Linked DNA regions of Coturnix japonica. The protein of the gene in region 2 purifies or fractionates together with the protein of the main gene of each other region. This does not show direct contact. Links are inferred from orthologs where the notes say so. Each region holds a gene or a part of one and is shown on either strand. Other genes may lie near its edges.

What was found.
Region 1: the proteins of KLF11 (region 2) and SIN3A purify together in Homo sapiens (affinity purification with western blotting, with the first as the bait; 3 studies listed by BioGRID). This does not show direct contact. The link is inferred for Coturnix japonica from reciprocal best matches to the Homo sapiens genes KLF11 and SIN3A.

What each region holds. Positions count from the first base shown.
Region 1 is NC_029525.1:1,969,171-1,972,819, forward strand, and holds part of SIN3A (paired amphipathic helix protein Sin3a), read right to left. Parts: coding exon 3,612-3,649; intron 2,686-3,611; coding exon 2,569-2,685; intron 1,873-2,568; coding exon 1,634-1,872; intron 718-1,633; coding exon 534-717; intron 120-533; coding exon 1-119. UniProt on the Homo sapiens protein: Acts as a transcriptional repressor. Corepressor for REST. Interacts with MXI1 to repress MYC responsive genes and antagonize MYC oncogenic activities. Also interacts with MXD1-MAX heterodimers to repress transcription by tethering SIN3A to DNA.
Region 2 is NC_029518.1:88,047,048-88,050,796, forward strand, and holds part of KLF11 (Krueppel-like factor 11), read left to right. Parts: coding exon 1-645; intron 646-2,311; coding exon 2,312-2,634; 3' UTR 2,635-3,749. UniProt on the Homo sapiens protein: Transcription factor. Activates the epsilon- and gamma-globin gene promoters and, to a much lower degree, the beta-globin gene and represses promoters containing SP1-like binding inhibiting cell growth.

The sequences.
Region 1 (3,649 bases), on a different chromosome or scaffold from region 2:
TTCACATGGTGAATGATGAGGGAAGCAGCATCCTCCAGGATCTGCTTGTCTTCATAGGCCAACGAGAGGTGTGGGCCTGTGGGAACCCCAGCATTGTCTTCTGAAGCCTGCTCTTGCCTCTACAAGTGAGAAACAAGACACAAATTAGTTCCACACGCACCTTCCTTTGCCCACAAATCTTCAGAAAGCTCTCCCAACGACACAGACTTCCTCTCTCATTACACCCCCTCGCAACAGAGGAAGCACCAGGCCTCCCTCCCACTGCTGCCAGAAGGCTCTCTGCGACAGATGCCAGAAGTTCACAAACATTCCTCCTGTTTACAAACCTTCTCCACCCCGTTTCTGTTCTAGAAATGGAGCCCACCTGCTACCAGCAGGATGACAAGCCTCCAACACAAGCAGATATCCCAACACGGAGAGCACAGCCCTTCCACAGCGAGCATCTCACTTCCCAACCACACCAGCACCAAAAGGAAAGGAACTAAAACTGCACATGCAGACTATATAAGCTTGAGGGAAGGAAACCATCTTACCTCATCATAGATGCTTTCAATCTCATTGAGGAGACTCTTTGACCTTAGGACCTTGGTATCGTTCTGCTTGAAGTTGATGCCCTGGTGGTCCAATGACTTCAGATAATACTTCTCATTCTGCTCTCGCCAGACTTTATTAAATCCTCTCTGGGCTTCTCGCCACTCTTCCTCTTTCATCTTTAACCTTGGATCAAGAAAGCAACGGTGAGATAAGAGACATAAAGGTCTCTGAGCTTGTAAGGAAAGCCTGAGACTTGGGAAATGTGCATCAATGACAGCAGTCCCACTGAGAGGAGTGTTACAAGAGCAGCACTCCGCACACCCTTTGCCAAACAAAGCCCCCTGCACACCTCTGGATACCTGAGCTTCCTGGGAACACACTCCAGAACCTCAGCTCAGTATCTCAAGCAAAGCACCTGGTGCAGCACAGCCAGAGCACTTCACAGAGCAGTATCCTGCAGCAGGGTGGGCACGCTGTGACCTTGCAGGTACTGGTGGCAAAGTGGTTTCCCTCCCCAGAGACAGTATAAGCTTTGTGGGGGGAAATGTACCTCCTTTAAGTGGTGCTACAGTTGTGCTTTTAGAGAACACTTCCTTGTTTATACACCGAGAGGATAAGGACAGCACATTACTGTATTAAATGTGTAAACAGCCTCCTCCTTAAACAACTCCAATGAGCTGCAGCCCCCACTCCTTTTTTTGTGTGATCTGTTGCAGGGAGCTGACAAAAGGAAACTAATGAGGATCCAGGCCTGAGCAGCCAGAGCTCACAGCCTCGCACAGCCATGGGATTTGGAAAGGGATCGTATTCAGCCCTGAACAATCCACATGGCACAGCTGCCTCATCTTACATACAAAGCTATGCAAAGGCTGAAGAAGAAACAAGGTTCAGAGGAGACAATAAAAGCTCTGCATCCCCCCCAGCTGAGCATTTGTGTTTCAAAAGGTGACTGTTATAAAACACAGTGACCGATCAGAATGGAATGCCTTTCTCAAATTGCATCCCTGTGCAGGTCAGACCCTCCAGGGGCAGAAATCAGCTACTTCTACATAAAGGTGGACCAAGGCAGAGCCCCCAGGGTACAGTGTCAGCGTGGTACCTTTTCAGGACTATGGGAACAGCAACAGATGGGTTCTTCCTGAGCCCATCAATGATGTCGGCTGCTTTGTCTGCATATATCCTCTGCAGGGCCTTGCGGTGGATCACCTCCGAGGTGCCTCCCAGGGTGTTGTCCAGCCGGAACTTGGCCTGCTCCTCAGCAGACAAGCGTGAGAGTTTCTTCTGGATGGCCTCAAGGACGCGAATCGTTGCCAGGTTGGTCTCCAAGACAACGTCCAGCTGAAGCGAACAGTGCGTTAGCCAGAGTTGAATAGATAAAACATGATACTTCACAGACTAACACTAAAGCGACATGAAACAAGAAGCCGGGCGTGTTTAACAAGGTGGATTTCAGAACTGGTTTCCACGTTTGGCTGCGCTGAAATAATCCAATTATATTTTATCTGCAGCCCAAGTAATGGCGTGTCAGAATTTAACGTCTACCAGAACGATGCTGTTAGGAAATTACATCTTCCATATGGGAGTAGAAAACAATTGACAGTTCCTCTACAAAAGGACATGACAGATCTGAGCACATTCAGGTAATTGCCAAGCCAGCTCCCATTTTAAGTCAAGAAGTCAATTATTTAACATCCTGAACGTATCGTTTCTTGGATTATTACAGGGGAATGTGTTCTTACAAGCTATGCGGGCATAAAGGGCTAAGAAGATGCATTGATTATATGCTGTCCATTGAACAATTCCATCTGAAGTGACGTGAGAGAAGAGCTCGGTGCACAGAGCTTGGGAAAGGGGTGGTAGCTTGGAGAGATACATGGTTACCCCAACGCTGCCTTTTGCTTTCAGATAATGCAAGCTCTTACGCAGAGAACATGCAACAGACAATAAGAACAGACTGTACGAAGCAGCATTAAGGATAGAATTAAATCAGTAGCTATTCACAGAACCCCAAGGCTTCCAAGGAAAACAACTTACCTCAAAACGCTCATCTTCACACCTGTAGATGTGCTCTTCGTATTGCGTCTTCTTGGAGCTGACAAAAGTTGAGTCTTCAGACCAGGAAGGGAATGAGACCCAGGTGTCATTCAAAACCTTGCAGTACGACAGAGAAAGACAAGCATCACAGTCAGTCTTGGGAGGGGAGTGTCACAGAGATGCTTGGCTGCTGATGGAGGAGCAGCAAAAATTGCTTCTCCCTTCCACTGCAGAGGATGCCCAGCACCCACAGGGCAACCTCTAACAGCCAGAGATGAAACAACCCAGCGGTCTGGAAAACTCATCCATTGGAAATGTAAGAAAAGACTTGGAAGGGAAGAGAGAAAGAGAGATGAAAGGAACCTTTCCGATCCATTGGAAGAACTGGCTCACTGTGGTTCACTCATCCCACGTCTGATTCACCACTGACAGCACCAGGTGGTCATAATGCTAACCATGACCAATGGACACAACGTGGTTTCTACCTCCAAATGAGACTCAGTAGGAGCATCAATCCATAACCCAGCAACGCCTTTCCTGACTAAAGATGCTGAGAACCTCCAAAGCAGGAATGGATCATCCAAAAAAACCTCAAAGAGACCAAAGGCAACAGAACAAAAGCTTCTGGTAGGTGATCTTGAAAAATCAAGCCTCATTTTCCTCAACCTGAAGCCTGAACAACCAAGACATTAAAATCTTGCAGAAAGAAAAGTTTACAGCTGCATCACACAAGATACTTCTGAGATACATGTTAGGACTTAGATTAAAAACTTACAGTTCTTTCTTGCCTGGGTTGTTTTCACTATCCTGCCATCCAATTAACCACATATCACTGCTCACTGCTTGACTTGATCACCTGCATTCATCCTCATTTCTCAAGGAAAAGAGGCAAAACTGGGATGCTCCATAATCTTCTGCCTGTTTGTTCTCCCCATTGACAGCAGTCACCCAGGAAGGGGGCTTCCAACACCGGCAAAGGAGCAGGATCAGTCAGCACCACTCCTCTCCAACCAAAAGGTGGATACATGAAAGGAGCTGCTTACCTCTTTACACAGTGGCGTCCGCCCCGTGCACTTGGGCT
Region 2 (3,749 bases):
GAGCTGAGGACCGAAGCCATTCCAGCCTGTCACAGGACACGTGTGCTGCCGATGCTTTAATTAACAAGGCCTCCCCAGTGCACCAGCCGTGTGCGGCTGACTGCAGTGATGTGGTGCCCAGCAAGGCACAGCTTCCAGCCCGACCTGTTTCTCCACAGACCCACTTACCAAAGAGTTGCGAGGATGACTTGCAAACAAGAGCTACCCCAGTGACACCGGTCCCTGTGTCGAGCCCCCAGGTCCTCTGTCAAATGATCCCTTTGAGCGGACAGAGCGGTGTGATTAATGCCTATGTCAAACCTTCAGCTCCAACCATCTCGGCTCCCATGAAACCTATTTTACCGCAGACAGCTCCGCTTTCTCAGCCCGTGCTCGTGGGATCTTCTGTGCCTCAGGGGACCGTCATGTTGGTTCTTCCACAGACTGCTGTCGCACCGACGCCGCAGTGCCCGCAAACAGTAATGACTGTTGGGAACACCAAGCTCCTGCCCCTCGCTCCTGCCCCCGTGTTCATCGCTTCTGGTCAAAGCTGCGCCCCCCAGATGGACTTTTCGAGACGGAGGAATTACGTTTGCATCTTCCCCGGGTGCAAGAAAACCTATTTCAAGAGCTCCCACCTCAAAGCCCACCTTCGTACCCACACTGGTGTGTAACGTGGGGTGAGCTGTCGTTGGGGTGCTCAAGGGTGCGTGGCAGCGGGTGGGAAAGGAAAGGGGCAGGTGGTCAGGGATCTTGTGCTCATCTGGGAGAGGAGCAGAATGCTCATTCTCCACGGGCAAGCAAAACAAAACAGACTTTGTTCTGAGACCTCAGCCGACCCCGTAGCGTTGGTTGAGTTTCACATGCTTTAGTTGGAGCAAAGCTTTGCCCTCTGTGTGCATGTGTTTAGATTGGAGTGGAACTCTGCCAGCTGGACTGGATTGCAGAGAATTGTGCAAGTCTTTATTTTGAGCGTGGAGGGCTCTGGTGTGAGCTATCCACAGTGCAGGTAGTTGTTCTTAGTTTGCATGTGAATGAAAGAAAAGGAACATTCCAATACGACCAGTACCACTACGATTAGAATTCCTAGAGTTTTGGCCAGGCTAAATAGGTGTGTGTTAAGATTTTGGGCCACAGTGTTAGGAAGTCGAGCTCCTGCAGGGATGTAACTAGTTTTACGTTAGGTAACTGTAAGTTAGTTATAATCACTGTGATTTGTTCCATAACATCTGGTTAGCATAGAGGCAGTGTAAATGTGCTCTATCTGTTCTCTTTTCAACTCTCAGATCCCGTTAAATCAAAACTAAAGGCTGAGTTCTTGGCAGGGGCTGTTTCTGATGTTGAGGAACGAGCACAGCAGGTGATTGATAAAGAAGAGCTCATCTAAATGTCTTCATTTGTTTTCCCTTTGCTTATTTCCGCCACCCTCTGTGGTTCCATGGCAGGATGTGCACCAATTTGCCAGCTTGTCTGTACAGTTCCTATGAGAACAGAGCTTAAGCTCTGTATGAAGCTGATAATCCTTGTAAACTGGAGCTCAGAGGCAGAATGGTGGTTCTGCTTCTGGTCTGTGGCAGCAGACCTCTCCCTTGGCACGTACTGCTGCTGACCCACCAGGGAAGTTGTGTCTGCTATGATGTTAAGATGAGCACCCGTGGCTGGGGAAGCACGCGGTCCCATCACTTGCCATCCTGCTGTGCAGCATCAGTGTGCAGAGCAGCAGCAACTTGCTTTTCCTGCTTCATCCCACTCACTGAGCAGCTATGTGGGCATCGTGCACACCGAGCCTCGCTTGCCATCTGCAGTAAGAACGCAGCTGCTGTGCTGCATCTTTTCTGCTGGACTTTTTGTTTGACTCCAAAGAGTTTCCCAGATTGATGGTAAAGAGTAGATGTTTATCTTGTTTTTCTTGAGGTCTATGGGGGCTGCAGTCAGCAGATGACATTGTTTAGGACGGGTGTGATGTTAAGCAGTCATCCAGCACGAGAAACTGCTGCTGAAAGCCTTCCTGGCTGCTCTCCTTCCTTGGCATCCAGAGCTCCTGTAGGAGTCTGGGTCTCTGGGCACGTGGGCTGTCTGATGTGTTGCATGGGTGTGCAGGTCACTTGAGCAGGAAGGGATGGAGGGAGTGCTGCAGGGAGCTTGAAGTCCAGCTTTTCTTTTTACCCACAGCATTTGCTCATGATGTGTAGTGCTCATAGAGCTGTGGCCACGTAGGAAGGATGGTCTCAGGGATCAGGTTTTGGTGAAGTTGCTTTTCTTTAAACAAAAGGACACAGCTCTGTGGTAAGACACAGCTTAATGGGAGCTCTCTTCCTTTCACATTCCACAGGAGAAAAGCCCTTCAGCTGCAGCTGGGAAGGCTGTGACAAGAAGTTTGCCCGCTCGGACGAACTGTCGCGGCACCGCAGAACTCACACGGGAGAGAAGAAGTTTGCCTGTCCCGTGTGCGAGCGGCGCTTCATGCGCAGCGACCACCTGACCAAGCACACGCGGCGCCACATGGCCACCAAGAAGGTCCCCAGCTGGCAGACGGAGCTGGGCAAACTGAACAGAATCGCCACGACCGAGAAACCGAAAGGCAGCGGCGCTCTGAGTATGCTCATCCCTGTGCCATCCGTCTGCCAGGGCAGCGGGACAAAGCACCTCCTCTAAACTTACTATGAGTCGCACAGAGCTCTGCTGGCTACAACAGGACTGACAGCACGGCCCTCTTCACCCCCTCAGCGTGTTTGTTTGTACATACTTGGGTTCCCTTCATTGTAGTTAATAATGCTAGGGGAGAAATGGATGCTGTGTCCTCATCCTTTTGTTTGTGTGTTGGATGTTTGGGCGGATGCAATCACCAGCACTTCAGGAAGGCAGGACTCTTTTGAAATGATTTTGGCAATAGGTTTAAACAAGTCAATAGGTTTAAACAAGTCAACGCGCATTGCTTGCTGTTAATATTTGGATGGACAGTGCAACAGGGTGATTTTTAATTTTTGATACTAGTGTTTTCTATACCAAATATATTTTGTATTTATTCCTTTGGATCTTTGTATGCAGGCTGACTTGCCCTGCGTTAGTAGAGTTGTGCAGGATGAAACCCGGGGCTTTGGGAGCTGCTTTCCTGTAAGCCCAACCAAATGCATTCGGTGCATTGTGTGAGCGTGTAATGCTCAGAAATGCGGTGCTGGGGATTTCACGCTTCTGGATTCTGGTCCTGCAGTAGATGGGTGCTGTTAGATCCTCCTTGTGCAGCTGCCGTTGGATGTTGGATAGTTTGAGATAACAGCGAGCTCAAAACCAACCCAACAAAACCACCCTAGAATGACTTTCAGAAATGAAGTGTTGGAATCCTCAGCACTGCATCAGTTCATGCTTATTGCAAGTGGAAGCTGTTGTGGCTACTAGGAAAGCTTGACACACTGCGTGTTCCTGGGTCCCCACTCTGCCCAAGCAAAGCACTGGGGAGCCAGGCTGCTCTGCTGGATGTAGAAGCACAGATGCTGTTCAGCAGCTTTGACACTAAAAACGACGCTTTACTTTCAGCCCCACAAAATCAGAGTATTAAAGTCTACTGAAAGGTAGCAAAAATGGCAGGATAAGGTGTGAGCAATTAGCTGGGTCCGTGTTTGCATTTTGTTTTAAATACAGGAGAAATAGAACATGAGGTTTACGCATTGTGGATGCTGATGCACCTCATAGAAAATTATTCCAGGCTTTTGATGACCCGCATCAAAGCACCAGGACAAATACTGGTCATGTCTTAAGAAACAGCCACCTTT